Linked DNA regions of Macaca fascicularis. The protein of the gene in region 6 interacts with the protein of the main gene of each other region in a pairwise test. Links are inferred from orthologs where the notes say so. Each region holds a gene or a part of one and is shown on either strand. Other genes may lie near its edges. The genes, in order: RGS2, PPFIA4, ARHGEF7, UPF0488 protein C8orf33, PFDN1, GIT1 and HMOX2.

Region 1 (3,958 bases), on a different chromosome or scaffold from region 6:
TGCGTTCTGTACACAGTGAGAGAAGCTGTTCTGATACCAGCTTCTCCTAGTCAGTTACTGGCTTCCTGATTCACTACCCAGCTTTGAATCAATAGTTCTGAGCGATGTTTCCTGAACACCCAGGCTGAATTCAAGGTCAGTCTTTATGGCAGGTCAGTCTTTCCCCTTAGGAAAAAGAATGAAATGTCCTCCATTTCTGGGCTCCCTTTTACATTTCATGTAGCATGAGGCTCTGTGGTGATTTGAGGCTTTTTACACAAGTCCTGGTAGAATTCTGACTCCAAGAAACGGGGATAAGAGTTGTTCTCCATCAAGCTGTATACCCTTTTCTGGGCAGTTGTGAAGCAGCCACTTGTAGCTTCTTGTATATTCTGGGCAATCAGAGTTTTGGTTTGAAAATCTATGTTTATCTGAAATAAAACAAAAAAGTTGTTTATTTGGTGTTCAGAGTTAAAGATTAAAATTTAGTATTTGAAAACAAAAAATAAAAATTATGTGTGATTAGCTTTACTACCTAAGTCACAGAAGAACTTTAACATAACTGAAAGCTACAACGTGGGGGGACTTTTTACCCCTCCTTCTGGCCCCACTTTGCCCTTATTTTGTTTCACTTTTGTGCTAAAAATGTCCAGATTGTGCTCAGTTTAGGAACTTGTTTCCTTACCTCTTTTGGAGCTTCCTTTTCTATAAAATCAGTATATATTTTCCTTGCTTTTGAGGACAATTTTTGGGGTGATTTGGTTTTTTTGAAGTCTTCACAGGCCAGCCAGAATTCAATATTTTCTTCACAGAATTCCGACTTTAAAAAAGCCCTGAATGCAGCAAGACCATCTGAAGGGGGGAGAAAAGAAAGCATGCAGAATGTGAAGAACCGAGTGACCAAATGATTCTTTATGTTTCTCCTAGTACTTCTCCCTCACATTTTAATTATTTCTAAATGACAGCAATTTTCTAGATTTCGCTTAAACCTGTAATTCTCAAAATTTAGCTTTTTAAAGACGAAGATACCAGTAGGCAAAATGCTTATGTTGGCCCTCTGCTGCAAAAATATAAGTACTTTGCTGTCAATGCAAAGTAAATATTTATAGGGGAGACATAAATTCTCTGGGAACTAAGCCTCTTGAAAACATTGTATGCAATGGAAAAACTGACTCAACCTTAACTATAAGCAACTGCCACTTTAATTTTTTTAGGCTGATTTTCTTCCCCACCTGGAGGAAATACATGCATTTATTTCCATGGTTAAACCCTGGGAAATAAAGGAGAGAAAAACAGGCTTTATCCAATAGTGACTGCAGTCTAATCCCCCTCAGGCAAGCTGCTCTTTTGTTGTGTGGACCCAGCCTTTGCAGGCTTTTGCAATATTAGCAATGGCTAAAGTTCAAGAGTTAACTTACATTTGCTAGCTAGCAGCTCGTCAAATGCTTCTGACCACAGCTGTGCTTCCTCAGGAGAAGGTCTGCAAGAGAGGTTCTGCATGTTAGCTTATGCACATCAGAGTTCCCCTTTTCAGTTCAGCAACTAACTATTAACATTTGCAAGTACAGGATTCTCAACTTACTTGATGAAAGCTTGTTGTTTGCTTTTTTTGCCGGTTTTGGGTTTCCCAGGAGTAGAGGAATTTTGCAAGAAGTAGCTCAAACGGGTCTTCCAATCTTTTAAACTAAAACAAACAAAAAAATTTAAAAAAGATAATCACTAAGTAGCAACACTTGAATATGCTACTGCAGCTGAACGCATTTTTACCAAATAAAGTCACCCAGTAACTAGAGACAAACCGCATAAGGCAAAGCAAGAACTCTTCAAATAACAGTCTTATCCACTTAACATTTAAACCTCATGTACTGAGCAGTTTCATCCATTAAACTGATCGTATCTACTAGTTTTACAACTAAGGGCAGGGCTACCTACAATCACTAGGGTATTTTAAAGAATTGTTAATGAATTTAGTTCAAAAGGCAGATATTATTTCTGGCTTACAAAGGGCATCAGTTTGTTTGCAAGGTTAATTACAATTCCGAGGGGTTTTACAATTTAATGAAAAGGACAGACGTGGAACTGTCTGGAGCCGGCCCACGCTTCTCTCTTTAGAGCAAGAGGTTCTGGAGCATGCCAGAGACAGTGTACAAGGAGGTGGGTGACTGATTCCCCTGCGCTCTTCCTTCCCCACCTACAACACTTCTTTTAAGCAGACGCTGCAGAACAATTATTTGTTCCACATTCATGACTGGATGAGATCTGCTCTATAATTAAAAAACAAAAGTGGATTTTAAACGAGTATATTCACAACCAGCAAGAGCATCTCCTTCCAGGAGCTGTGTAAGCTGATGAGAACTCATCATGCAACGTATGCATGCTGGGGACGCGCTTCAGCCGCAGGATTCTGATGTCATTTTGAATGCAGGAGGACAAAAAGCCAACCCGCAATTTCTTAGCGCATCCACCACCGCCCTCATATCAACTATCTCCCTCGGTTCCTAAACTCTACCCGAGCATCACCCAGATTTAACCTTAACAAACTGACCTTTTCGATTTTTTTTTTCCCCTGCAGAGGCTCGGGCTAGTTTCCTAACATCAAAGCCGAGCCCAAAGTACCGCGTTTGCAGCTCGCAGTGTGTGGCAGGGGTGGCGGGAGAGGGAAGAAAGCCATACTCACAGGGTCCGTTTCATCTTTTCCCGCTTCTCCTCGCTCTTGTGGCCGCTGCCAGCGCTAGTGTCCATAGGTCTGCAGTCGTGTTGAACAGCCAAGAACATAGCACTTTGCATTATCGTCCTTCCGCTGGGGCCGCGGCTGTTGGCTGCTGGGCGTGCGTCGCAGCTTTTATAAGAAGCCGCGACTTGGGGGCGGGGCTTCGCGGCTCCGGCCCCGCCTCAAGAGGACGCGGATTGGTTGGTTGCAAACGGGCACTGGGATGGGGGTCAGCGCCCGCCAGCGGCAGTCTCGGTTAACGCCGAAGGGTCTGGAAGCCAGGGCGCTGCTGACGTCTGCGGCCCGGGCTTCTTGCGCACTCGGACTACATAGCAGCGGCCAGCTGGGGCCGGCGTGCGAGCAGACAGGGACTTTTCAGTGTGGGCTGTTGCCCACGACCTTTTGCTGAAGCGTGGCGGCCAGGCGGGGGCTTGCGGCGGAGGGAGAGAGCCGAAGTTGGCTGCGGCCTGGCGGAGGCTACGTCGCTCCCTCACCCACCCACCCTGACGGGCTCCCCAGCCCCAGGCCAGAGCGGCGATTCCCTGGCAGGAGGAGGTCGCCCGCCGCGAGGCCGGAGTTCAGTGGCCTGATTTTGAATGAAGAGTGGGATTTTTCTTCTTTTTTTGAGCGCGTTCCCTGACCCCGCGCCTCATTTCTTGTTTGCTGTCCTACTGTAGGGACTCATTCGACACACCCTGGTCAATGAACTGAGGCTACGGGAAGACCCTCCCCCGTTTCTCTCTGCCACTTAATTTAAGGAAGGTGTAACCTGAAACGTTGACTGCCCGGGGGCAGGGTGGGACCTGCTCTGCAGCTTGCTGGGGCGTCTTGAAACACGTTGGGAATGAACATTAGGGATTGAACAAGAGAAGGTGACTTTATCAGAAGACAGTGCTTTAATTGGATTTGCATTTTTGATCACTACTAGGCAAGTGGCTGGGTCTGTCTATAGGGTCATTCCTCAGGAGCCCTTGGTCACATCTGCCAAAATGGAAATCACAAGTTTCCTTATGGTGGGAGAGAAAGCTGGAGACACAGATATTTCAGAGCTGTAATGCACTAGAATCATGAGTTCAAGGAGTCAGGATTTCCTCATGAGTCATTCTTGTTTTGAGTTAGGATTTACCAGAACTTTTAATAACTGGCAAAAAGTAGGGGGAAGGAGGAGTTAACAGTTTCCTTCATTAAGTTTTTTGTTAATTCTTCAAGTATCATCTCTACTCCTGAAGGTTTTAAAACGACTTGATTGGTAAAAACAAATAGATTACC
Region 2 (4,146 bases), on a different chromosome or scaffold from region 6:
GGGGATGGAGATACCTGAAGGAGGCCCTGAGGTTGCAGCACCCGAGCCTCTCTGAAAGCAGAGCAATGAGCTGGGCAGCAATCGTGCTTCTTGTGCCAGCAGCCAGGCAACAAGCGGGGAGGCCTCAGGCTCAGCCCAGCCCTGGAGTCTCCTGCCATCCTCGCTTAGAGCTCCTTCCCCCACTGCTGTTTCCCCCACCAGCGCTGTCCCTGTGACATTCTCAGTTGCCTCAGGCCCCTCCCAGTACAGCAAATGCAGAGGGTCCCCTAGAAGCAGCCCCTTCCACAGTACATCGAGGACCTTGGTCCCTCTGAATCCTCCACTCTGCTGGCCACCCGAAGTGCCACGCTCCTGTGAGCCAGCACCGTATGCCCTCCAGAGCTAATTATAGGTCAGTGAGCTAGCAGGCCAGAGGGGGACAGATGGTGACTTCATGTGGCTGCAATACACACTTGTCCCTCCCTCTGACCCCACTCCCTCCCCTCCATTTCTCTCAATTCCCTATGTGGGACCCAGACTTTGAGGCAGTTTTCACTCCCTCAATCCTCCCTGCTCCCCACCACTTCTCCTCTCCAACACAAGCACAAGCACACACACTCACGCATGTGCACACACATGCACGTGTGCACATACACGCACACACACTCCTCCATACCACTCAATTGCCATGCCTTGTTTCTACAGCAACTCACCTATGGAGCCAACACAGTAGGGCCTAAAGCCCAGGGGAGAATGTCCTTGGCATTCGAAGGCCTCGGCTAGCCGCCCGTATCTTAAAACCCCCTTAGCACCCAGCTCCCTGGCCCTGCTGAGCCTTCATCCCCACCTCATCACCACCACAGCCTGACTACTCATTCTCTTGCCTAGCTCTAGCTCTGCCATCCTCGGAGGCTCCATGAGGAACTACAAGCCATCCCTGACAACTCTTTTCAACTCTTAAGATTTCAGCAATCAACTCAGAGACAAGACCCAGGAGCCTGGCTGCCTGCCATGCCCTGCCCCTCCAGCCCTCCTTTACAGCCCAGCAGCCAGACCTCATGCACTGCACAGTTCTGACATCATGACATGCTCAGCAGCACAAACCCCAACCCCACTGGATAAGAATTCCCTTCCACGCCCTCCTCCCCCACACTCTTCCATCTTCCAGAGATGGCGTCTCCCACAACGCAGAGTGTCTAGGACATTCTTGGCCCCCAATAACCATTTTGTCATTCACTATCTCCTTACTTGGAGATACCATTTATCCCAGGAAGCCTCCTCAAACCTCAGGACAAAATCTGAGAAAATAACCAAGGAAAATCATTCAAGCTGCCCTTTTGCTTAGGCAGCTTCCCTGGGACTACCTGGCCAGTTAATAGTGGTAGGGGGTGTGTAGGCTACAGTCTAGTTCAGACAGCTGCTTGAAAGTACGTGGACACAGTTCTTCCTTTTCCTAATCCAACAGTAATGTAACAGAATGGGGGTGGGGGGTGAGGGAGGTGTTAACAGAATACCTACTATGTGTGCCTACTATGTGTACCTTTCAGCTGCTCCGTGGCTGTAAATTGCCTTCAGAAGACCTAGCACCGAGCATAGTATCCGGCAGATAGTAGGTGTCCAATAAATGTTTGCTGGATGTTGAACAAAGTACTAGGTACCAGATCCAACAACTCTGGAAAGGACTATGGGAAATCCCCGGAACCTGGCTCCTGGAGAGGACCCTTAAGCGCACACCAGGAGGGGATCTCCCTGCTAAGCAAAGGCTCCTTAACCACTTGCTCTCCACACAGAACGGCCTCAACTCTTCCGCTCCTCTGACGGAAACTACCAGCACACCTCTCCTCAAAGGTGACATCAGCGCCTAGTGGCACCTTGTCCTGGATCCCTCTTCCTTCTCAAAAAAAAACCACCTACACCATGTCTCCAAGTCCTCCAACCCGACCTCTCTCTTCCCACCCACCATCAAAACCTCAAAATCTGTGCTAGAAAACATCCCTACTGCGTGGACGTAAGTCAGCACCCCACTCCCACCCTCCAGTTCAGGCACCTCTATTCCAGCCCTCTTTTCCTGTTGCGCCCACCCCTGTCGCCACCCCCACCAGGCCTCGGGTTGGCCGCTCCTTCCACCCCACCGCCCTGGCACTGCGGAGATGGGGGCATCTCTGGCACAGACTGAGGCTGGCAGTTCGAGGAATGGAGAGCTAGCAACAGGAACAGGGGTGCTATGAGGAACGCGGGAAGGATTAAGACCCCCGCGAAGAGCGAAGACCTCAGCTCCTCAGAAGCGCGTCCCCAAAGGAGTGGGGTTAGCCTTGGAGCCGAGAGGCGCTTTTTCTGACTCTCCTGGAGGGGAAATGGGAGCGCAGTCTGCTCCGTTCCCACCGGGAGACTCGCCAACTCGGCCCCCTCCCCCGAAGCCGATGGAGCAGAGGGCGCACCCCACACCCTCCCCGCAGATCGGGCATCGCCCCCATCTTCACCCCCAAGGGCACAGGGCACCGCAAAGGCTGGCGAGGGGCGGCGGGGGGGAGCCGTACCGACGCCTGCCGGAGACAGCACATGGGGAGTCAAAAAGGGCTGTTTCCTGAGGCACGATAGACGAGACCCCTCCCCAAACTGTCGAGGGGAGTTGGAGGTGGGGAAAAGACGCATCCTACCCCAGTCCAAGCTCTGGGCGCTCACCTGCCTGCAAATGCCGAAGGCCAGGCAGCTAGGCTCGGAGGCAGCAGGGAGCCGCCCCCGACCGGTGCAGACCGACACGTCCTAGAACCGAGCCGGCGCCGAGGTAGCTGCAACCTCCGCCGCCCAAGCGCCCGGCCGCGAAGCCCCGCCCCCTTCCTCCGTGGACAACCCCCCAGGCTCCGCCCCCTGGGCGGGGCCGGGATGCCGCGCCCGAGGCCACGCCTCCCGCCCCCAAGCGCCTCCGGTCCCGGCACGTGACAAGAGCGCCGCTTTGAGGCTGCGCGCCATCTTGGTTCAGCCTCGGAGGTGGCAAAGTGCCAGGGTTTTACCCTGCAGGAGGGTCTCAGGTCACAGGAGTGCTGCCAACATTCTGCCCCCTCCCTCTGAACTCGCCCCTGTTCCGAGTCTAACAGCCTGTTCCCTAAATTGGCCTTAGTCTCGGCCTTGTAATTGTTGTCAATAGTTTGCCACCTTTCACACTTGCTCTCTCCTGCCCATTACTTGCTTTTCTTTTGATCGCACCCGTTTTTTAAGTGGGGAAACTTGATATCCAGATACTACATCTGTAGTATGCAGTTCAGTGAATTGTGTCGCTTGCCTTCAGGCACCTGGCTGTTCTAACACTGTTACTACAAAATGGTTTGTCTATTACATATACATAGTATGAAAACAAGTCTCAAATGCCAGAATTACTGACTGACAAATTTTAGCTAAGCCTCTCCATTTTCCTGAATTGCTCCCTTACCCTGCCCCCTGTGGCTATTAATGCATCTTTTCCATCTGCTTTGTGAAGTTTCATCACAGTGTGCCTACTCAATCCTTTACCAATACCCAGTAAGCACCACTAAAAGTGTGAACAATTTCTATATACATGCAATGTGTTCACGTGTATGTATTTATAGACATATACACAGCATGTTCTGTATCAGCAGCAAATGCCATAGCTGAGATCAATGACACATACAACCTTCTCTCATTTAACTTCCACCCTATATATTCACCATTTGGCATAATTTCCTTGCGTCTCTTTGAAGACAGGGAAATCTGGGTAATTCTGATCTGAGGGGTGGTAAGTGAAGCTAAATTGGTGACTTTGAACAACACAGCCTTCAACTGCATAGGGCCACTTACATGCAGATTTTCTTCCTTCCCCGCCACCCCTGAGACAGCAAGACTACCCCTCCTCTTCTTACTCGTCAGCCTGCTCAACATGATGACCCACTTAATGAACAGTAAAGATATTTTCTCTTATGATTTTCTTCATAACATTTTTTTCTCTAGCTTATTTTATTGTAATAAGGTATATACTACATATACAAAATACACATTAATCAACTGTTTGTGTTATCAATAAGGCTTCCAGTCAACAGCAGGCTACTGAGTTTTGGGGCAGTCAAAAGTTATAGCAGATTTTCAACTGTGTGAGAGGGTCTGCATCCATAACTCTCACAGTGTTCAAGGGTCAATTTATGTTGCTTGACTGAC
Region 3 (3,500 bases), on a different chromosome or scaffold from region 6:
GACCACCTACAGAAGCAAACGAAGGTCACATCTGTGGGAAACCCCACCATAAAGCCTCATTCGGTGCCGTCTCATACCGTAAGGACCTGGCGCTTCTTCTCCTTCCAGACTCCAGGCGTGGCATCCCGTGGCTGAGCTGTCAGCAAGTGATCACGTGCTTTAAAACCTGATCAATATTGGGATAAAAATGCAAACGCTTGCTTGATATTTCTCTGAAAATATTTGGCCCTCTTTGTGCAGTAGTGAATTGTTTTCCAATGAGTGTTCTCGAGAAACAACCCTGAATTGTGCCTCCTCACGCACAATTCAGAGGTGCTTGGGTGGGAAGCTGCTTTTGCTCAGCGTGGCCTTAGAAGACTAATTTAGGGGAGTTTTACACTAAACTATAGATGATTTTTCTGAGAATTTTAACTGTTTATTATGCTTCATTTAAGAAAACGAAAATAAATGATTATGATGATGAAAAGGGCCAGATTCATGTTGAAGGCATTAAAATAGAGTTTATGACACACTGTTGATTTTAAGAAATTGAGGTGTCTTTTACTTAGAAAAGCTCAGCAACTCTTTGAATTTTTAGAGAATTACAACTTTTCAAAATAGATGAACACTGAATTCGGTTGCAGTGTTTAAACCTCTCCTGGTGTTTTTTGCTCAAGAAGTTGGTATCGGGTTGTTTTAACAGTCGTCATCTTTATCAAGTAATACCGAAAAACTGGGCAGAGCTTTTAAAGAATGAGTGGCGATGACACGGCATTTTCAGCTTGCAGATTCCCTCACATCCTTACTAGGTTATTAGGATCAGTTCTGTCGTGTGCTCAGTTTTCATGTTTTCTTCTTCATGGGAAGGTTGTAGATCAAGAAGGATTGCTGTATTCTGATATTCTCATCAGTTTCAGAGTCCATCTGATTTCTCTCAGCAGTGTGCAGATAACTACTCATTGGCTTTTAGCTAGCATTTCATCTTTAATGGCTCTGCCGTTTTAAAATTCTCCATTCTTTCGTGGAGATCAGTTTATCCCAGCGACATGTGTACACGTGTGTTTATAAAGAACAGTGGATGAGCTGCTTCACTCAGATTTTCAACAGCAGCCTGAAACTCTACTTCATACAATTTTACATCAAGTCAGCTTTTCTCTGCGGCCAGACCCTCCGTCTTAGTGTTTCTTTCACTGGTGGCGGGGAAGGCACTGTGCCTCATGTTTAAAATGTTCTGCGTTCTCCTACAGAGTTTCTTTTGTGGGATGATGTATTCTCCTGTGATCTAACTCTGTCCAACTGAAGTCATATTCTAATTTTAGCATAAAGCATACTTCCTTTGACTTTCTCAAGAAAGGAGAAACAAAACCAGACACTACTTAACTCTGACGTTGTTGCTAGGAGGGATGTCTTACATAATTTTCTCCATCTATACATTATTTCCTATGAAAAGATGACGTTACGGTGGCTTCATAGCATGACCTGTATCTCACACGATTCCCTCCCCCATGCAGGGACTAGAATGTGATCATTGCAGAAAGTTGATGGCGTCTGTTCTTGAAATTGTGGCATTAGCTGCTGTGGGGCCTTCCCTCTCAGCCTGTTTTGAAGGTCGTGTACTTCAGAATGCCGACCCCACTCAGGTTTCCAGTTCACAGCGCCACACAGCTTGTTCTCCCATTAAACGCGCCTTACTATTGTTGGCTAATTTGAAGTCATTGTTGGCTGATTTTGAGACTTACTTAACTTTTCTCATTTAACTGTCATTGTGATGGGATATTTCGGGTTTCCCAGGAATATAAAATTCATTAATGACATACCTCCTCTAAGAAGTTAATTTTCAATTAACTTTGTTTTGATTAAAGTTGAGTTTTCTAAGAAAATAACTGATTTTATACCAGGGTTTGGCAGTGTTCTAGAAAGAGCCAGATGGTAAACATTCTCTGCTTTACAGGCTCAGGCCTCTTGCAGCTGTACTCTGCCCTTGTAACACAGCAGCAGCTTTAGACAGGCACGGGCCTGCTTGTGTGCCAGGAAAACTTTTTTAAAAAACAAAACTAGGCGATTGGGCCTTAGTTTCACCCAGTACTTCATCACCAGGTGAAGAATAATACGTGACCGGGGGGAATCACCTTCCTTCTTACAGCCACATGCCCTGTGTGCTTTTGTGAAATTCTCATCTTTTTACTAGATAAAGTACCTTTTTTTCTGTTAATGTTACTCCGTAGCTAATAAATGTGGCTAGTGGATGTCCGAGTGCTGGGGCGCCAGCTAGAGCTGCCCCTCCCGTCTGGGGCAGACACCGTGGGGGGGTCCCATGCTCAGCCCAGGTGGCGCGAGCTGGTGCTTGGCCCCAAAAACTACTGAGAGCCAGAGATTCGAACGAAATGATAAATGATAAATCCTGGGGTTTATTTCACATGGAGTGTTTAAAGAGCGGAAGGAAGTGCGTGATAGTGCCCTTTCACGGTGAGCATGCAAGTCTCACGTTCTCTGCCCTTCCCGCTCTGTGCCCTCGGCAGCTGCCCTCCCACCCGGTCACTCCGTCCAGCAAGCACGCAGACAGCAAGCCCGCGCCGCTGACGCCCGCCTACCACACGCTCCCCCACCCCTCCCACCACGGCACCCCGCACACCACCATCAACTGGGGACCCCTGGAGCCTCCGAAAACACCCAAGCCCTGGAGCCTGAGCTGCCTGCGGCCCGCGCCTCCCCTCCGGCCCTCCGCTGCCCTCTGCTACAAGGAGGTGAGGTCCCTTGACCACTCAAACAGCCAGACGCCGGTGAGCATGCCTTGGGCCCCGAGTGTGCCGGGCTGGTCCCTCTGTACGCAGCAAAATGCACCCTAACTGCTAGAGAACTGAGAAGGGGTCTGCCTTGGTTCTTCGGTTATCTCCGCTGCTGCTGAGAGGCCTGTGGTAACCCTGTGTGGGAAGGGGATGTGCAGATGTGCAGGGCCCCTCCTGTCTGTGCCATGCAGAGGGGGCCTTTACTGTGCTTGCCGGAGGAATGTGCCGCCGGGGGCCAGGAGCTGGAAAGGCGCCGAGCCCAGGTGACTTTCCCTCCCCGTGTGTGAGGCCGTCGCTCGGCGTCTGCATGCTGTCTGCTGCGTCTAACAACCCCTCCTCTAGGTCGGGGATCCTATCCAGGAGCCCTGCGTTTTGTCATCCAGAAGCCATTTGAAAGGAAGAGAACGTTTACCAATACAAATGAAAAAACACTTAGGCAGTTTCCCCCTTTGATGCATAAGAAATCATGATACAGTCTTTGCTTGTCTGTGTTTTGATCCAGCATTTTTGTATTTGCTAGGTGCAAATAAAGTACGATTCTAATGAATAAATATAAGTATTAACACTTTCTTATACTTTCCCCTAAGCCAGCTTGGATGAGGAAAGGAAGCGTCTTGAGAAATGTGTTCTGAGAAATATTTTCACCTGAGGAAGCCGATAATTGAGATGAGCGTTGTTTTCATAAGCAGTTGAGCGTGCATGGTGGTGAGGTACGAGGAGTGGCGGTGCGAGTAT
Region 4 (3,782 bases), on a different chromosome or scaffold from region 6:
CTCTAACCAATTAGCATAAAACACCTTGCTCAGGCCATAGGTAGACCCAATCATTTTGTGCCTTAAGCTTTGTTTAAATTTCACGCCATAAGCTGTGTTTAAACTTGTGTTTGCCTATATAAACAACCTGTAACAAGCAGTCGGGGTCCCAGGGCCAACTTAGAGCTTGGGACCCTAGCGCGCTAGTAATAAATAACTCTCTGCTGTGAATCTCGTGTCGGTAATCCTTCGCGGCAACCCCTGCCCAGGAGGGAATCGACAGTTCGGTTCCAACATGCCGAGGCTCAATCCAGGTCTCAGGCCAGAACTGTTAGGGCAAGAAGCTCCTTCCTCCTGAGAAGACAGCCATGCCTGGTGGCTGCCATGCTGGTTCCCTGAGGATGACACCTGCTCAGGAATGAAGGCAACATGGACAAAGGATCGAGGCAAGGGACTGGACCCAGGGAACCAGACCCCTGCCGTCTTCTGTACTTCCTCTAACACAGGTGGTCAGCACACTCTTTCACTCGTTATCCAATTTTATCAAAAATAAAGACTAGGGCAATGTGACATAACAGCATTAAGCACTAAACCATTTGACAGGAATTCCTTTCAAAAGTGAAAAACAGTGTATAATTATATAGCTTCTCCACTAATCTTTGTTACCAACAGCCACTTAATCTAATCCTAAAGACTGAGTACAATATTCTTTCTACAATACTTCAAACAGTCACTTCAATTTATTGTATATTTTCTAAATGCACCTCTCTCTGTTCTGAAAGAGAGAACATTTCATCACAAAACAAATGGGGTCTTTTGCCTATCTGATGGTCTCACACCTTCACAACAGCTCTAAATACTTGGACCAGCCAGGGACAGACCAACCCCAGGGTTCTCTGCCAACAGAAGTCCTGAAAAGGCTCTGCACTCAAAACAAACCCCTACACCACCCCAAGGGAGGGGGAATGTTCCAGGTCGGGGGAGAAGCTAAAAGAAATTGAACCGAAACTCTTCATCAGGAGTGTCCAGAGTGGCTTTGCTTCGCCCTATAGGGCGAGGCCTGCAGACCCTTCGGCTCTTCTTTCTGGTGGCTCCATCTACAGGCTGCACCTGGGCTAAATAAGCAGCTGTCAGGGGAGAGAAGCAGCGTATGTGAGAACTGAATAACAACAGCTAACATTACCTGTACAGTTATGTTTGCCCATACAATTCTAACCACTTTGAATAAATTAACTAATTCCTCAAATTTGTAAGGTTGATATTACTATCACCGCCCATTTAGAGAGGTTCAGTAGTTTGCAAAAGGTGTTAGTACTACTATGTGGTAGATCCAGGATTTGAACCTAGCTCATCTGGCTCCAGGAATTGCACTCAAACTGTTATGGGATATGGCTTCGTTGCCAGTAGAGAGAGCCAAGACACAAAAACATAACGCAGCTTTCCCCAAGCCAGGAGCAGGACCAACACAGGGTCACACTCTTTCCCGCTCCTCCCATGACCTCCCCGCTGCTTCCCAGGTTCAGTCCTGGGAAAAGGAGAGACAGGTCCATCCTTGCTCTTTCCCTGTTCCCTCAGGCTTCCCTGAGCTCATCTCCTTCCCCCACCAGCCTTGTTGCTCTGGGCCTTCTTCCTTTCACCCCCTAGGCACTTCCTCCTTAAATTAGGCCTTCCTAAATCAACCAGTTACTAGCTCCTCACCAGATCTGAGAGCCCGCAGGGCCTCACGCCATTCGGCTTCCATCTGAGCCCTATAGTCTCCAAACAAGGAGTGCATCAACTGCCTCTTCCGGGGCAGGGGCGTTCTTTTGCTGCGCAGGGTTCGGATTGCTCCAATAGCCTGCTCTTCTGCGAATAAAAACAAAGGACTAGTGAAAACCTCTACTACTGACCTCCTACCGCCCCACCGCAAAGGAAACAACTTCACCTCTGCCAGCACCTGCAGGCCAGGCGGTGCCACTCTTCACATTCCCCAACTCTATAGAAAGGTCCCTTACTCTGTTTTGGGGTGGGTTTCTGCCTCTTGAGGCCAAGCTCCAGTTGTTCCACACACCAAGCCAATTCCTGGGCCAACTGCTGCGCCTGTGACGGATTTGGGGAAGTGGCTGTGAGAGGGCACTGGGACACAAAACAGCGCCTGGCCCCATCCCATCCCCCTCCCCGCCTTAACTCTGCGGACCCCAGATCACATGTGCCCGTGGATTCGCACTAGGGGATTCCACCCTTCCTGACTGACGCCCGCCCTTGCCTGGGCCTCAGCGCTTAGGGGCACTTCTTCTGGGGCGGGTTTCTCTGAGGCCTTCTCGCCTCCATTTGCCACAGAGGCCCTGTTCCGGGTTTTCTTCTTATTCTTTTGTTTTTTCGACGCTGCACTGCCTTCATCGCCTAACGGGTGCGCTCTGGGGTCGGCGTTACTGCTCGTGGGTTGCCCTGGGCAGAGACAGACAGTGGAGGGATTCCGGACGCTGGAAACCAGGCCGGGAAGCCGGTGTCTGCGGGACGCGCAGGGAGTACCCGGGCCTGGGGCCGCCGCTGCCTCCCCGGCAAGATGTCCTAGGGCCTGGAGAAAGGGGGGCAGCACGAGGGTCACGGAGGGCCACCGACAGTGCGACGCCCAGCCACCCGCGCGTCTTCTCCACACCGCTCACCGCCATGCTCCGCAGTCGCCACCGGAACTACGCGAGGCGGAGTCCGACGTCGAATTCCGTCCTCCAAGAGGGCGCCTGCGACTCTAGGTTCCGCAGGGTCGCGGGCGGGGCGGGGCGGGGCGGGGCGCGGGGGCCCTGAGGGGAAGGGGCGAGGCTGGGGCGGGATGAAGCTGGGGCGCGGCGAAGGTGGGACGGGGCTGGGACCTGGCTCAGGCGAAGCTGGGACGGGGCTGGGGCGGGGCTAGGCGAGGCGGGGCGGGGGCGGGAAGGGGACGGGCGGGGAGAGGAGAGGAGGGGCTGGGCGAGGCTGGGGCGGGATGAAGCCCAGGCGAAGCTGAGACAGGGTCGGGGCGGGGCTGGGGCGGGGGCTGGGGCGAGGGCAGGGCGGGGCTGGGGCGAGGGCAGGGTGGGGCGAGGCCGGGGTCGGGGGTGCCTGGGGGATCCGGAAAGAGGCTGCAGGGCGGTCTCGCAAGTGCTCCCGGGCACCGACTATGTGCCCGGCACCTTTCCGGATAAAAGTTCAAAGCTCTACACAAGGGTGTGTCTTCTCAAGGCTCACCTTTTGGTGGGGAGGGAAAAGCAAGTAAACAGAACTTGAGCAGCTGTGGCGCAGGAGGGTGGTCGGCAAAGACCCCTGGGAAATGGGGAAGAGGCGCAGGCCTGGGACCCGGCGCAGCCCGCGGCGCTCGCTCCGAGAGGATCAGGGCACCGTCGGTTGAGAGGCCGGCGACGCGGGACGTGGGGGCTCGGGTGAGGTCTGTGAGTTGGGAGGTTTACTTCCGTTCTAACGCAGTGGGAAGTTGCTGCAAGATGTAAATCTGAAGAGTGGCATAATCGTAGACGTGTGTTCTGCGGTTCTCTCTGCTCCTGTGCAACGAGTAGGGCACATGGGGTGGAGGGATGTGGAGGGATTTCAGAAGCAGACGCGGGAAGAGCCTTGGACAGGATATGGGCGTGAGGGAGGGTGGCGGTATGGGGGAGAGGGAGAGGCCAATCCACCTCTCTTCTCCCGGATGCTTCCCTCCCACTATACCTTGCTGGAGACCTGGGGTCACACACAACACTCGACCCCCGCCGATGGAGGCCTGACAACTGAGAGGAATTGCGTAGGGGCTGAGGTGAGACTGAGTGAGGCTTCAGGAGCGGGCTAGGCCAGGA
Region 5 (4,047 bases), on a different chromosome or scaffold from region 6:
AAGCTCTGTGAAGGCCTAATAAAAACAAGTCCATGATTTAGTAGGTTAAACATTTTACAGGAAACATTTATGTCAAATCCAAATATATTAAAACAAAACATGCTAGCCAGAGACAAAGTTGTGAAATTTACCAAATATCAATAAGTCAACATAATTGTAAACGATCAAGTCACTATACTAAATACTGAATTTACAATCATCAGAAGATACAAACAGTGTGAAGCAAAACAAATGCACATTAAATAATAACCATATTAAGAAGTATTCAAGGAGTAGTAAAAGAAATAAACGCAATAGTCAAGGATGAAACCCAGAGATTCAAAACAAGAACCATAAAAGTAATAACTCACTACATTTGTATTGCACAATTAGGTTTCAAAGCACTTTCTCACATTAGTTTGAAATATTAATATGGGAATATTAATATAAGAATATTAATGAGGAAATATAATATCTAATTTATGCCTCTCAATAATGCCATGAGTTAGCATTGGCAGTTTCATCATCCACAATTTACAAATTAAGTAACTAAATGAGTTAAGAGATAAAAGTGGCTTGCACAAGTTTGAACAACTATTAGAGGGAAAGGGAGGTGTATTTAAAGACATTTCTTCTAACCCCTTAGTTTAGCAATCTTTCCATTCCACTGTCTATAGTAATATTCATAATATGAACATTTTTAAGAGGAAGACCAAAAAGATAGAAAAAATGCAAAGCACTGGCAAAATAATTGCATCAGGCCAAATTTGACCCTTGCGTACACTTAGTTAACTGGAAAATAAACAGTTCTTGGATACTCTTGTTGAAGTGCCTGGAATGACTTTCATATGCTGTCAAATTGGTGCCTTAATAATTTGTGACTGCAATGTACAGCAAAGGTTACTACATAATTTTTATTGTGACCTTGTTTTCACCTACTAGTAAGATTTTGAAAGATTTACTTTGGAGAAGGGGAGGGGCCTGAAATGTCCTATTTGTCTCCACCCAAAAAACGGACCCTGTAACAACATTAGAAGATAAAACCTTTAAACAAGTTTTTAAATTAATCATTTGTCAAAATTATTCAGTTTAAGTTTGTAATCATTTTCTTAGTTTGCATTCACTGTCCACATTTTTCAAATGTAGCAACAAATTCAAAAGTACCAGGAGGAAAATCCATTCACTAAATCCTGATTTAAATCGGTACTTTTAATTTAAAAAAAGGTAAATTTTTAGAATGCACAATTTTGTTTTGAAATGTAAAATTTCAGGTATTATCTGACTGCTCTGTACAGCTTGCTAAGGAAGCTAGTATACCGTTAAAGATGAGCTAGTACACCGTTAAAGATGAGGGAATTCCACCTAAGAGCTAAATTTACAAGATTCAAGACAAGAACAAAAGCAAGACACAAACACATAATATCCTCAGAACCATAACAAAAGCTTCATTTGTTAGAAGCAACAGCTATTTCGGCTGTCCTATTTCTTTTGCACAAGTTGACCAGAGAGACAGTCTTAACTAAGATGTTGCTCATCTGAAGAATCCAAAATAGTGGTCAAAAAAGTGTGAGGTAGCCGGGCGCGGTGGCTTACGCCTGTAATCCCAACACTTTGGGAAGCCGAGGCGGGCAGATCACGAGGTCAGGAGATCGAGACCATCCTGGCTAACACGGTGAAACCCCGTCTCTACCAAAAATACAAAAAATTAGCCGGGCGAGGTGGCGGGCGCCTGTAGTCCCAGCTACTCTGGAGGCTGAAGCAGGAGAATGGCATGAACCCGGGAGGCGGAGCTTGCAGTGAGCCGAGATCGCGCCACTGCACTCCAGCCTGCGCCACTAGCGAGACTCTGTCTCAAAAAAAAAAAAAAAAAACAAAAAAGGTGTGAGGTAAGACAGAGAATACTGGATTCTAGTCCCAACCTCTGACAGACTCTTCTAGCACTGGTTCCTTTTCTAGAAAAGTAGATTTAAAATAGATAAATTCTAGAGTCCTTTCCAATCCACCCCACCGCACAAAGCATACTGGTTTGGGGTCATTAGTGGTGTTAGAATGCTGATCATTCTTAGACAGCAAAAATATGAGTAACAACACATTATAAGCAACTGAGGAAAGCAGGAAACCCAATTCCTTCTGATACCGGTTTTATTTGGAAAACTTTACTGGTTTTGTTGTTTTTTTGACAAGTCCTTCAAAAGAAGGTTTTGTTTTGTTTGTTTGTTTGTTTGTTTTTTTTGACAAGTCCTTAAAAAGAAGGGGAGGGCCCAAATCTTGAAATGAACATTGCTGTTACAATGCCTGGTTTTCCGAACTGTAGATACCGCAACCTTTCAAGGTATAGAACCGAATAAACGGCCTAAAAACAAAGGTTGGACTTGGAGTTTTTCAAAGCAAATGAGGCAGAATTACGGATGCCACAACTCAGGCAAGGGGTCCGAAGGCACCCCCATTTGAAATGCTCTCTTTGGTTCTTACTATGAAAGTGAGTCCCTGAAGCCTCCAAACGCAACGAAAGCTCTCTAGAGCTCAGAAAGACTGCACAGGCCCGAGATAGGCCCGCAGACTTACCTCACCCAAACCGGCTCCTACCCAGCAAGAGCCGCTCGCCCCCCACCCCAGTTTACGGAGACGCAGTGCGGCCTTAGGACTCTGGAAAACCATTCCCTAGTCCACTGGACCCTCCTGCCTTATGCAAGGCTCGTGCCTCACTCGATATTCTTGCCTATAGTCCCCTCAGCCTCCAAAGAGAAGGCCTCCGCCTGCCCAAGACCCTCCTTTACCTTCTTCAACTCAAGATCCACGGGGGCAGCCATGTTGGTGCACTGTATGCGCCTGCGCAGTGGGAGTTGGCCTGAAAGAGGGTGGGGGAAGGGCGCGCCTCACTTTGTGCATCCGTCCTTCTTCTGCGCCTGCGCATGAGTTGGACTAACCGGGCTTCCTACCTTTCTATGAGAATTGATTAACCCCTGAAATATTTGGGTTTCGGATTCAGTGTCTCCACTATCTGACCGGTCAGGTCTGGCTTGCTCCTCCACATCTTCCAGACATAGCCCAACGCGCAGATTTCCCATGTGGCTTTAAGCAGTTTGCCAGCTAGCTTAGTATATGCTGCTAAACTGGGATGTATGTAGATGAGGTCAAACCCTCATCAGTCGATCAGAATCCTTCAGCTAGTCGCTGTGCTGTCAGGGATCAGTAAGAATAAGTCCAGAACCTCAGGCATGACAGTTTGGGAAAGACTACCGGAAAGCTTGTCTGGAGTGTTCTTTCCAAGACGAACTTACTACTTCCAAAAGCTTCCCAAAGACTTTCTAGGCACAGTGGTTCAAAAGAGAGGCTGAATACGTTTGTTTAAAAAAAAAAAAAATGCAGGTTCTCTGGGTCTCATCTCAAACTTACTCAGAATCTTTGAGAATGGGGTCTGGAAATTTGCACTTTTGCAAACTCTCCCAGTGAGCTAATGGTGCAACTCCTCTGCGGATCACTTTTTTGAGAATCTCTGCCATAAAAGGACCTGGCATTTGAACCAGAAGAATAGATAATAATTGACTTTTGGAAATGGAAAAAAAGAAATGTTTACCTACTCTAAAAACTGTTATGCTAAGAGAAAGTGCTACATAAACAATTAGGAAATTTATTTTATTTTTTTTTTAAAAAGAGAGTGAAAGAAAGAAAGAAAAAGAAAGAGAAAGAGAGAGAAACAAAACAAACTGTTAGGGAGATGAAAGGGCAGGGAATTTGGAACCAGCCTGATCCAGATTCAAGGCTTGGTCCACCTTTAGCTTATGTCTGGTTCCATTTACTAATTGTGTGACTTTGAGCAAGTCACTTGGATATTTTGTGGTTTTGGTTTTTTGTTTTGTTTTTTGGTACGTTTGCTTGTTTGTTTGTTTTTTGAGACAGGATCTTGCTTTGTCACCCAGGCTAGAGTGCGGTGGTGCAATCGCCGCTCACTCCAGCCTCTACCTCCCGTGCTCAAGCAATCCTCCCACCTCAGCCTCCTGAGTAGCTGGGACTGCAGGCACGCGCCACCCACACCCAGCTAATTTTTGGATTTTTCGTAGAGACAGG
Region 6 (4,107 bases):
ATTCTCCAGGGCTCCCTGCCCCCTTCCTCTCTTGGACTCCCCAGGCAGGCAGGAATGCACACGGTGCCTGACAAGGTGGCACAAGCTGCCAGAGCAGCCACACCATGTCCAGTTGCCTACCAACACACTCGCACTTGTCCCGTGTGCCCAGGCCCGGGAGCAGAGGGAGGATGGGGCTCTCTGGGAGCAGGCTGCATCTCACCTCTGACCTCCATGACTCCCCAAATTAACCAAGCACAAAAAGTCCCTGGCCCCACTCCTGTGGCTGGGACTGCAGGGCTCCTATCACAATAAAAGAAGGCTGTGACCCTGGGGTGGAGCGATACACCATGGGGCTGGCACTGGATCTGGACTCCAGACTGCTGGGTACCCTCATGCCTCTCTGCCTGAGATGCCACAGGACCCAGACCAAACACGTCGCTGCATGCCAGGGCCAGCATCCTAGGGTCCAGGTGTGGGATAGTCCCAAGCAGCCAGCCAGGGTCCCGACAAGAAGCCAGACACTCAGGGAGCGCCTGCCATGTGCTGGACACTTCGCTGGTGCTAGGTGGGCTGATGTGTAAGACTGTCCATATCCTCCCCACCCTACCATCCTCACCTTCTCACCACCTTCCTGACCTCTATTGTGTATCAGGGGAAAAGAGTCATCTGGGGCACAAATTCCTCTGACGGATGAGGACCTGGGAGTAGGAGCTGGGCAATCCAACACATCTGATGCCCACCATTCCTCCCTGAGCCCACTGGGCATCCAGAGGCTTTGGATGACATTCAATGCAACAGAGAAAGGACAACTGCCTTGCTGCCTTGCTGGTGCTGCCCTTCACCCCTCCACCCCAGAATCAGATCACAGCCCCCCCAGAAACCATTTCTACTCCAATTTCTTTGCCTCCTAATTAAGGAAACTGAGGCCCCCACAGTGAGGAAAGTCTTTTTGGGGTTACAGAGTAAGCTGGGAACAAAGGCAACACTATGCCCCAGGCTTCCCCGATAGGGTGCCTGCTAAGCCTCTCCTCCACATGCATGCCATGCTCACCCCATGGAGGTGCGGAACAGTGGGCAGACATTTATAAGGCAAGGTGTGTCCTCAGCCCTGCCATCCCCAGACCTGCCTGCAGCTGGGGGAAGGGAGTCATAGTTTCTTAGGGGTATGGACCCTCAACCCCAGGGCCCTCTAAACCAAAAGCCCCAAGGAGGAGAGTATCTTGTGCCCAAGCCCTGCTGGGTCACAGTTCCCAAACAGTCTAGCTTGGCACCACCCCCAGAACCACCAGAGCATCTGTGAGGCTCAACCTGTGGGGTCCTGGGCTTGCTCAAGGGGTGGCTGAAAGTTATGGACCCACAAACCAGCACCCCATAATCTCACTCTTAATAATGCCCACAGCCCCGCTAGAGTTCACAGACCTCCGAAGCCTGCCCAGGGGCCTACTAGGGAGATAGCTCCTTTTCTAAAGAAAGAATGGATGGGGGCTAGAGCTTCCCTCCCAGGCCAGCTGCAGAGCCCAGTCACTGGCTGTCCTCCCCCATCAGAAGGGAGCAGACTCTTGGATCATTACCCCTGACTTCCTCAGCAGGCCTGGGGGGTTTCACTCCAGCCCAGTCCTGACTCTGTTAGGAAAAAGAAGAGAACCACCATGTAAATACAGCCAGGAGGCAGGCTAGGAAGCCAGCAGGATGCGGGGAATCTAGGCAGTGCCTCCCACCCATTTCTCGCCAGACTGGGCTAGGGGACAGGGAGGGGCCGGGGCCCAGGATAGCTTGATGCCAAGCTCACTTTCCCAAGCGGGCCTTACGGTGAATAGGAACAGCAGGGTCCAGCCGAGCTGTTCCCAGTCACCACCAGCAGGCCTGGTGATGCCTCCCGATAAGACACCCGGGTCTGAACTGGCCCTGAACGCCAGGCCCCGCAAAAAAGCGCTAGCCTTAGGAACCCGCGGCAGGGAGTCCTGGGAGTAGCCACTGCTCATCTGCTCCTGAGGAGACGGTATCCAGGCCCCGCTGGCGCATCTGCCCGGCCCTCTGCTCCTTGCCCTCCACCACCCCGGCAGGCGTGCCGACCACGCGAGCAGCAGGTGCAAGACGCGGGGGTGGCACTGAGATGACACAAAACCACACTCGCCCCCACCTCCCAAGCCCTGCCGGCCTCCGCCACTGCCCTCCTGCCACCCCAGGCTGGCGCTTCCGTCGGATAGAGATGGAGGTGGAGGGGCAGCCAGCTGCCCGCCTCCCTCAGACCGAGGGGCGGGAGGCAGCGCCGGGAACGTCCTTCTTCGCTCGTCCACGGCCTCCAGGGAGCATGGGCCCCCCAGGACAGCCCTCCCGCCAAGGACGCGGCTCCGCAGTGGCCGGGGCGGGGGCCGAGCCCGGAGGCCGCAGCCCCCCGCCCCGCCCAGCCCAGCCCAGCCCAGCCCTCCGGCCCCGCACGGCGCTCTCGCCAGGCCCCGGCGCCCGCCCGGCGGCGGCCTGGCTGTGCGGTCCCGCCCCCGGCCCCGCCGCGCTTACCCGGGGCGCTGCAGTCCGCACACACCTCCGCTCGCGGCCCCTTTCGGGACATCCTCAGCGGCGACGCGGCCGCAGCCCTCTGGGCCAGCGTGGGGGGCGCGGGCGGCGGGCCCGGGCGGCGGCGGCGGCCCCTGCTGCCCGGCCCGGCTCCGGCGAGGCCCCGGCGAGGCTCCGCGCGCCCGGCCAACCGTCCGCCCCGGGGCTGGCCCGGAACCCGCCGTGCCCGCCTGCCCGCTCGCCCTCGGGCGCCCTCCGCCCCACGCCGCCCCGCCGCCGCTCGCGACTCCTCTCTCCGCCCCCTGCGCGGCTCCGGGCCGCTCCTGCAGGAAGCGGCGCAGGCCCTGCCCACCAGGGGAGGGGCCGCACCCCCGCCCCGCCGCGCGCTCCCGGCCGCGCCCCCTGGAGAAAGGAAGCCCGGGCGCGGGCGGGAGGGGGCGGGGGCGCTTAAAGGGGCCGCGGCTAATGCCCGGCCCCGGCGGGCAGCGGGGCCTGCGGTCCTGGCCTCCGCTGCGGCGCTCGCCTGGCCCGGAGGCAATGTGAGTCACCCTCACAGCCCCCTCCCCTTCACTTTCCGCGTGGGGTGGCCTGGGGGACGCTGGGCCGAGGGATGGCGAGGGCGGGGATTAGGCAGGAAGGACTTGGAGGCCCAAGTCCCGCTCCAGGTCAAAGGGGCTGTGCCTTGGGGTACCCTTCTATCTCTGGTTGGGGTGAGGTGTGCCTCCCGGTCCTGTAGGTGTCCACATCTGTGTGTCCAGGTGTGTGTGCGTGTGTCACACTCTTGCTGAATACGCTCATTGCCAACAATATGGACGCCCAGGTGCTAGAAAGGTCAGGCAGTGTATTCCCCTGCCTCTGGACTAAAAATATATCTATCTCTCCATGCATGCTTCCATCCAGAGAGGAATCTGGGCGGTTTTTAAAGACCTCCCAAGGAGTGACCACTGTGCCTGTGTGCACTCAAATCCACTTGTCATCCGCCTTATACACACGGTGTTTCTGGGCCACCAGAGGTGTGTGCGTCCAGAAAGGGTGCATATAACACAGAGGGGCCGTTTCAGGTGACAGCCTTTCTTCCTGGACTTCACACGAAGAGGCAGGCAAAGGCAAGGCAGGTGAGGGACGTGGGTGGGCTGGGGGGCAGGGAGCCTAGTTGGAGGCCTCACATGAGCACAGCCCCCGCACTGAGCATGCTCCCCCATACACGTGTGCCGCGCGTGCACCCAACCCCCAATCCCTGCAGCAGCAAAAGGCCCGGGCACTCTGCTTGTGGGGAGAGGGCAGAGGTCCCCAGGGCCAGACCTGGGGGCCAGGTCAGTGGTGACAATTGAGGAGGGGTTATCGAAGTCAGAGACTCCTGCTCGGTAACAGATGGGGGCAGTCCTTTGGCAGGGGTGCTCAAGTTGGTCGATTTATCCCAGCGGTGCCAGAGCGGCAGTGACTTGTGGGTGGGCAGGCTCCTTCCCTAGGGGAGACAAGTAATTCTCATGAGTCACACCACCCGAAATACATGCAAAGCTGCCTCCATCGCCTTTTGCTGCGGCCCGGATTGACAAGTTTGTTTGAAATCGCGATCCATGGGCTTTATTTATAATTGCACCTTAAAAAAAT
Region 7 (4,259 bases), on a different chromosome or scaffold from region 6:
CGCTAATATAATTTTTTTTTTTCTTTGAGACGAAGTTTCGCTCGTCGCCCAGGCTGGAGTGCAATGGCACGATCTCAGCTCACTGCAACCTCTGCCTCCTGGCTGCAAGCAATTTTCCTTCCTCAGTCTCCCGAGTAGCTGGGATTACAGGCTACTTTTTGCAAGGCTAATTTTCGTATTTTTAGTAGAGACAGGGTTTCACCATGTTAGCCAGGCTGGTCTCGAAATTGCAAGGCTAATTTTTGTATTTTTAGTGGAGACGGGGTTTCAACATGTTAGCCAGGCTGGTCTCGAACTCCTGACTTCAGGTGATCCACCCGCCTCGGTCTCCCAAAGTGCTGGGATTACAGGCGTGAGCCACCGCACCCAGTCTAGGTCAAGTTTTTAATCTGTTTTCTCTCCAAGGACTTAGAAGCTGAATTTCAAATTTTACACTGAAATACACAATTCTAATTTTTTTTTTTTTTTTTTTTTTTGAGACAGAGTCTCGCTCTGTCGCCCAGGCTGGAGTGCAGTGGCCGGATCTCAGCTCACCGCAACCTCCGCCTCACAGGTTCAAGTGATTCTCCTGCCTCAGCCTCTCAAGTAGCTCAGATTATAGGCACGTGCCACCATGCCCAGCTAATTTTTTTTTTTTTTTTTTTTTTTTTTAGTAGAGACAGGATTTCTCCATGTTGGTCAGGCTGGCCTCTATCTCCTGACCTCAGGCGATCCACCCACCTCGGCCTCCCAAAGTGCTGGGATTACAGGCGTGAGCCACTGCGCTGGACCCACAATTCTAATTTTCAAAGTATATCACCCTCCTGGAGGAGTGATATTCCAGTTTTGGGTGCAATCCTGATGTAGAGCCCAAATGTCCTGTGAAGAGAGTCAGCTGTTAAAAGGAAACCAAAAAATCAAAGTAGCTCTAGCTGTCCAATTTTACAAGTTTTCAACAGATTTGATGGGGGTGAGCTAAAGGCAGTCAATGCTTTATTGTCTGTAACTCATTGGCACTGGCATTTCTAGAGTTGCTCATGTTCCCCCTTTTGGTGACTCACAGCATTTCAAAATGTTGCCACAGCAAAGGAAAAAAGGAAATCAAGTCAGACAATGGAGGAATCACAGGATTTCCCTCTTCACATCCCCATTTAGATGAGGTCATTCAATGAGTGTGTGTGTTTCCAAGGCTCTACAAATTCCCACACCCTCACCAGCGTTTAAACCTAAATGTTGTCTCTGATAACTTTTTCTAATTTTACCAAGTAAGCTTTTATATGTCTTATTTAACTGTGAACTCCTGGTAAGCACAAATTTTGTCTTGTGATATTTATTTTTTCTTTTTTGAGACAGGGTCTCACTCTGTCACCCAAGCTGGAGTGCAGTGATGCGATCTCAGCTCACTGCAACCTCCACTTCCTGGGCTCAAGTGATCCTTCAAAATCAACCTCCCCAGTAGCTGGGATTACAGGCACGCGCCACCCTGCCCATTTAATTCTTTGTATTTTTAGTAGAGACGGGGTTTCATCATGTTGACCAGGCTGGTCTCTAAGTCCTGACCTCAGGTGATCCGCCTACATCGGCCTCCCAAAGTGCTGGGATTACAGGCGTGAGCCACCCTGCCCAGCCTAAGCTGAGTCTTAACACTGACCTCGTTTTACACGTGGAAAAATGATCAGCTCGCAAGGCTTTGCAAGGGGCTGAGAGGAGAGGGCTTCCTCCAGTGGAAAGTATTATGCAGTGCTTTTTTTTCTTTTTTTGAGATGGAGTCTCGCTCTGTCGCCCAGGCTCTGCCTCCCAGGTTCAAGGGATTCCTGCCTCAGCCTCCCGAGTAGCTGGGATTACAGGCATGCCCCAACACCTCAGGCTAATTTTTGTATTTTTAGTAGGGACGGAGTTTCACCATGTTGACCAGTCTGATCTCGGACTCCTGACCTCAAGCAATCCGCCAGGCCCGGCCTCCCAAAGTGCTGGAATTACAGGCGTGAGCCACCGCCCCGGCCCAGACGCGATTTAAATGGCATGACACAGGCAGGCCTCGTGCAAAGACTGCAAGGAGGTCCTGGCAGCTTCTGCAGGGTAATTAATGCACCCAGAGCACTGCGCTCAGAAGGTGACAGGTAAACCCATGTCCGGACTAACCGGCTACCCCCACACTTGATCCCTCCCAGTCCGACTCTGCTCCAAGCTGTACCAGGGTTCACTCGTGAAGTCACGACACCCACTCAAGGGGCACTTCCTATAGAGATAAGGGCACTGGAGGAAGGGCAGAGACCCGGCCAGTGCCAATAGCCCGGGAAGCCGCTAAGCCGGGCTCCAATCTCTGCCGGCATCCCCTGTCAGCACCGCCGACGTCCCCAGCTACGACCCCGGGGGTCACCTCGCCCAGCACGGCCGTGACGCTGGGAGGCGGTGGGCCCAACGGGGACGCCAAAGCAAGCCGCTCAGGCCTCCCCGCGCCCCCGGGGAGACGATTTTAGAGAGCGGCGTCCGGGGTTTCGCCCTCCCCTGACAGCCCCTCCACGCTCGTCTTCGTCCTTCTGCCCGGCCTCACTCAGCTTCCGGCCTGCCCGCTCTCCCCTCAGACCCGCGCCGGGGACGCAGAGGGCTGTGGCCTGGTTGAGCCCAGGTACGAAGGCCTGCACCGAGGCAGTGCCCGCGAAGGACGCGGCGCAGTCCGAGGAGCCGGGCGGAAGGAAGGCCCCGGGAGGGCGCAGACAGCTCACCTGCCGCAGGTCGCTGTGGCCCGTCAGCCAGCCTCCACTCAGCTTGCCCGTCAGCGACTCCCTCAGGCGCCGCAGTCCCCGCAGCCCAGCGGACTGGCGCGAAGGCCGGTGCAACGTTGGCACGCAGCGCGGGGCGGGGCCTAGGGAGGACACGCCCCTTGTAGCTGACACGCCCTTGCGGGGGGCGGGAGGCGGAGCATGTGGCTTTCTCCAGGTGTCTGAAGGCTGCAGGCTCAGGCTCTGCTCAGCAGGGTAAGTAGGGGTGCTTCGGCAGGAACGCTAGTGTTCACAAGAGCCGAGGTGTGTGAGGGTGCCTCAGGGCTGAGCACTTTTCTTCCCCAGTGTGGTTTAATCCTTTTACATCCGCTCAGTGATGTAAGAAATAGGGTTGTCAATCGTGGCACCACCCACTTGCTCACTTGCCAATGCAATCTGCGAAACTGAGTCTCAACTCCGACACATCGGTTACCAGTCTTGTATCTGATCTCCCTGTTGCATTATGGGCATTCTTCTAACAGCAGCCAGAATGACAGAATGATTTTTTTTTTTTTTTTTGGAGATGGAGTTTTGCTCTTGTCACCCAGGCTGGAGTGCAATGGCGTGATCTCGGCTCATTGCAACCCCTTTCCCCCGGGTTCAAGCGATTCTCCTCCTCAACCTCCCGAATAGCTGGGATTACAGGCGCGTGCCACCACGCCCGGCTAATTTTTGTATTTTTAATAGAGACGGGGTTTCACCATGTTGGCCAGGCTGGTCTTGAACTCCTGAACTCAGGTGATCCACCCGCCTTGGCCTCCCAAAGTGCTGGGATTACAGGCGTGAACCACCATGTCTGGACTTTTTTTTTTTTTTTTTTTGAGACAGGGTCTGGTTGTGTCGCCCAAGCTGGAGTGTAATGGTGCAATCAGAGTTCTCTGCAGCCAGGAACTCCTGTGCTCAAGCCATCCTCCTGCCTCAGCCTTCCAAGTAACTTGGACTGAAGGCATGCACCACCACGCCAGGGAATTTTTTACTTTTTGTAATCCCAGCACTATGGTAGGCAGAGGCAAGAGGATTGCTCGAGTGCAGGAGTACAAGACCAGCCTGGGCAACATAGGAAGACCCCGTCTCTACAAAAAAATGTAAACATCAGTCTGAGGTGGTGGTGTGTGCCTATAGTCCCAGCCACTTGGGAGGCTGAGGTGGGAGGACTGCTTGAGCCTAGAAGTTCCTAGGCTGCAATGAGCTGTGATGGTGCCACCTTACTCCAGCCTGGGCAACAGAGTGAGGATATGTCTTTTCCAAAAAAAAAAGTCACCAGAGATATGAATATGAATACATAGCTCAGATAGGACGCAATGGCTGACTGCTGTATTTTTTTTTTTTTTTTTTTTTTATGAGATGGAGTCTCAGGCTGTCGCCCAGGCTGGAGTGCAATGGCGCAATCTTGGCTTACTGCAGCCTCCTCCCCGGTTCAAGCAATTCTCCTGCCTCAGCCTCCTGAGTAGCTGGGATTACAGGCGCCTGCCACCACGCCCGGCTAATTTTTTGTATTTTTTTTAGTAGAGACGGGGT

What was found.
Region 1: the proteins of GIT1 (region 6) and RGS2 interact in a two-hybrid assay, tested with the Homo sapiens proteins (2 studies listed by BioGRID and IntAct). The link is inferred for Macaca fascicularis from reciprocal best matches to the Homo sapiens genes GIT1 and RGS2.
Region 2: the proteins of GIT1 (region 6) and PPFIA4 interact in a two-hybrid assay, tested with the Homo sapiens proteins (2 studies listed by BioGRID). The link is inferred for Macaca fascicularis from reciprocal best matches to the Homo sapiens genes GIT1 and PPFIA4.
Region 3: the proteins of GIT1 (region 6) and ARHGEF7 interact in binary tests that used the Homo sapiens proteins (3 or more experiments, as listed by UniProt). The link is inferred for Macaca fascicularis from reciprocal best matches to the Homo sapiens genes GIT1 and ARHGEF7.
Region 4: the proteins of GIT1 (region 6) and UPF0488 protein C8orf33 interact in a two-hybrid assay, tested with the Homo sapiens proteins (2 studies listed by BioGRID and IntAct). The link is inferred for Macaca fascicularis from reciprocal best matches to the Homo sapiens genes GIT1 and C8orf33.
Region 5: the proteins of GIT1 (region 6) and PFDN1 interact in binary tests that used the Homo sapiens proteins (3 or more experiments, as listed by UniProt). The link is inferred for Macaca fascicularis from reciprocal best matches to the Homo sapiens genes GIT1 and PFDN1.
Region 7: the proteins of GIT1 (region 6) and HMOX2 interact in a two-hybrid assay, tested with the Homo sapiens proteins (2 studies listed by BioGRID and IntAct). The link is inferred for Macaca fascicularis from reciprocal best matches to the Homo sapiens genes GIT1 and HMOX2.

Annotation. Positions count from the first base shown.
Region 1 is NC_088375.1:50,401,426-50,405,383, reverse strand, and holds the start of RGS2 (regulator of G-protein signaling 2), read right to left. Parts: upstream 2,801-3,958; 5' UTR 2,767-2,800; coding exon 2,657-2,766; intron 1,664-2,656; coding exon 1,562-1,663; intron 1,460-1,561; coding exon 1,398-1,459; intron 832-1,397; coding exon 665-831; intron 411-664; coding exon 216-410; 3' UTR 1-215. UniProt on the Homo sapiens protein: Regulates G protein-coupled receptor signaling cascades. Inhibits signal transduction by increasing the GTPase activity of G protein alpha subunits, thereby driving them into their inactive GDP-bound form.
Region 2 is NC_088375.1:60,837,525-60,841,670, reverse strand, and holds the start of PPFIA4 (liprin-alpha-4), read right to left. Parts: upstream 2,801-4,146; 5' UTR 2,662-2,800; intron 1-2,661. UniProt on the Homo sapiens protein: May regulate the disassembly of focal adhesions. May localize receptor-like tyrosine phosphatases type 2A at specific sites on the plasma membrane, possibly regulating their interaction with the extracellular environment and their association with substrates.
Region 3 is NC_088391.1:101,803,508-101,807,007, forward strand, and holds part of ARHGEF7 (rho guanine nucleotide exchange factor 7), read left to right. Parts: coding exon 1-78; intron 79-2,498; coding exon 2,499-2,723; intron 2,724-3,352; exon of another isoform or gene 3,353-3,475; intron 3,476-3,500. UniProt on the Homo sapiens protein: Acts as a RAC1 guanine nucleotide exchange factor (GEF) and can induce membrane ruffling. Functions in cell migration, attachment and cell spreading. Promotes targeting of RAC1 to focal adhesions. May function as a positive regulator of apoptosis.
Region 4 is NC_088382.1:154,739,316-154,743,097, reverse strand, and holds UPF0488 protein C8orf33, read right to left. Parts: upstream 2,654-3,782; 5' UTR 2,631-2,653; coding exon 2,625-2,630; intron 2,537-2,624; coding exon 2,225-2,536; intron 2,059-2,224; coding exon 1,974-2,058; exon of another isoform or gene 1,904-1,973; intron 1,825-1,903; coding exon 1,678-1,824; intron 1,107-1,677; coding exon 967-1,106; 3' UTR 501-966; downstream 1-500.
Region 5 is NC_088380.1:146,792,533-146,796,579, forward strand, and holds the start of PFDN1 (prefoldin subunit 1), read right to left. Parts: upstream 2,801-4,047; 5' UTR 2,790-2,800; coding exon 2,757-2,789; intron 16-2,756; coding exon 1-15. UniProt on the Homo sapiens protein: Binds specifically to cytosolic chaperonin (c-CPN) and transfers target proteins to it. Binds to nascent polypeptide chain and promotes folding in an environment in which there are many competing pathways for nonnative proteins.
Region 6 is NC_088390.1:35,093,513-35,097,619, forward strand, and holds the start of GIT1 (ARF GTPase-activating protein GIT1), read right to left. Parts: upstream 2,801-4,107; 5' UTR 2,552-2,800; coding exon 2,500-2,551; intron 1-2,499. UniProt on the Homo sapiens protein: GTPase-activating protein for ADP ribosylation factor family members, including ARF1.
Region 7 is NC_088394.1:5,289,478-5,293,736, reverse strand, and holds the start of HMOX2 (heme oxygenase 2), read right to left. Parts: upstream 2,801-4,259; 5' UTR 2,706-2,800; intron 1-2,705.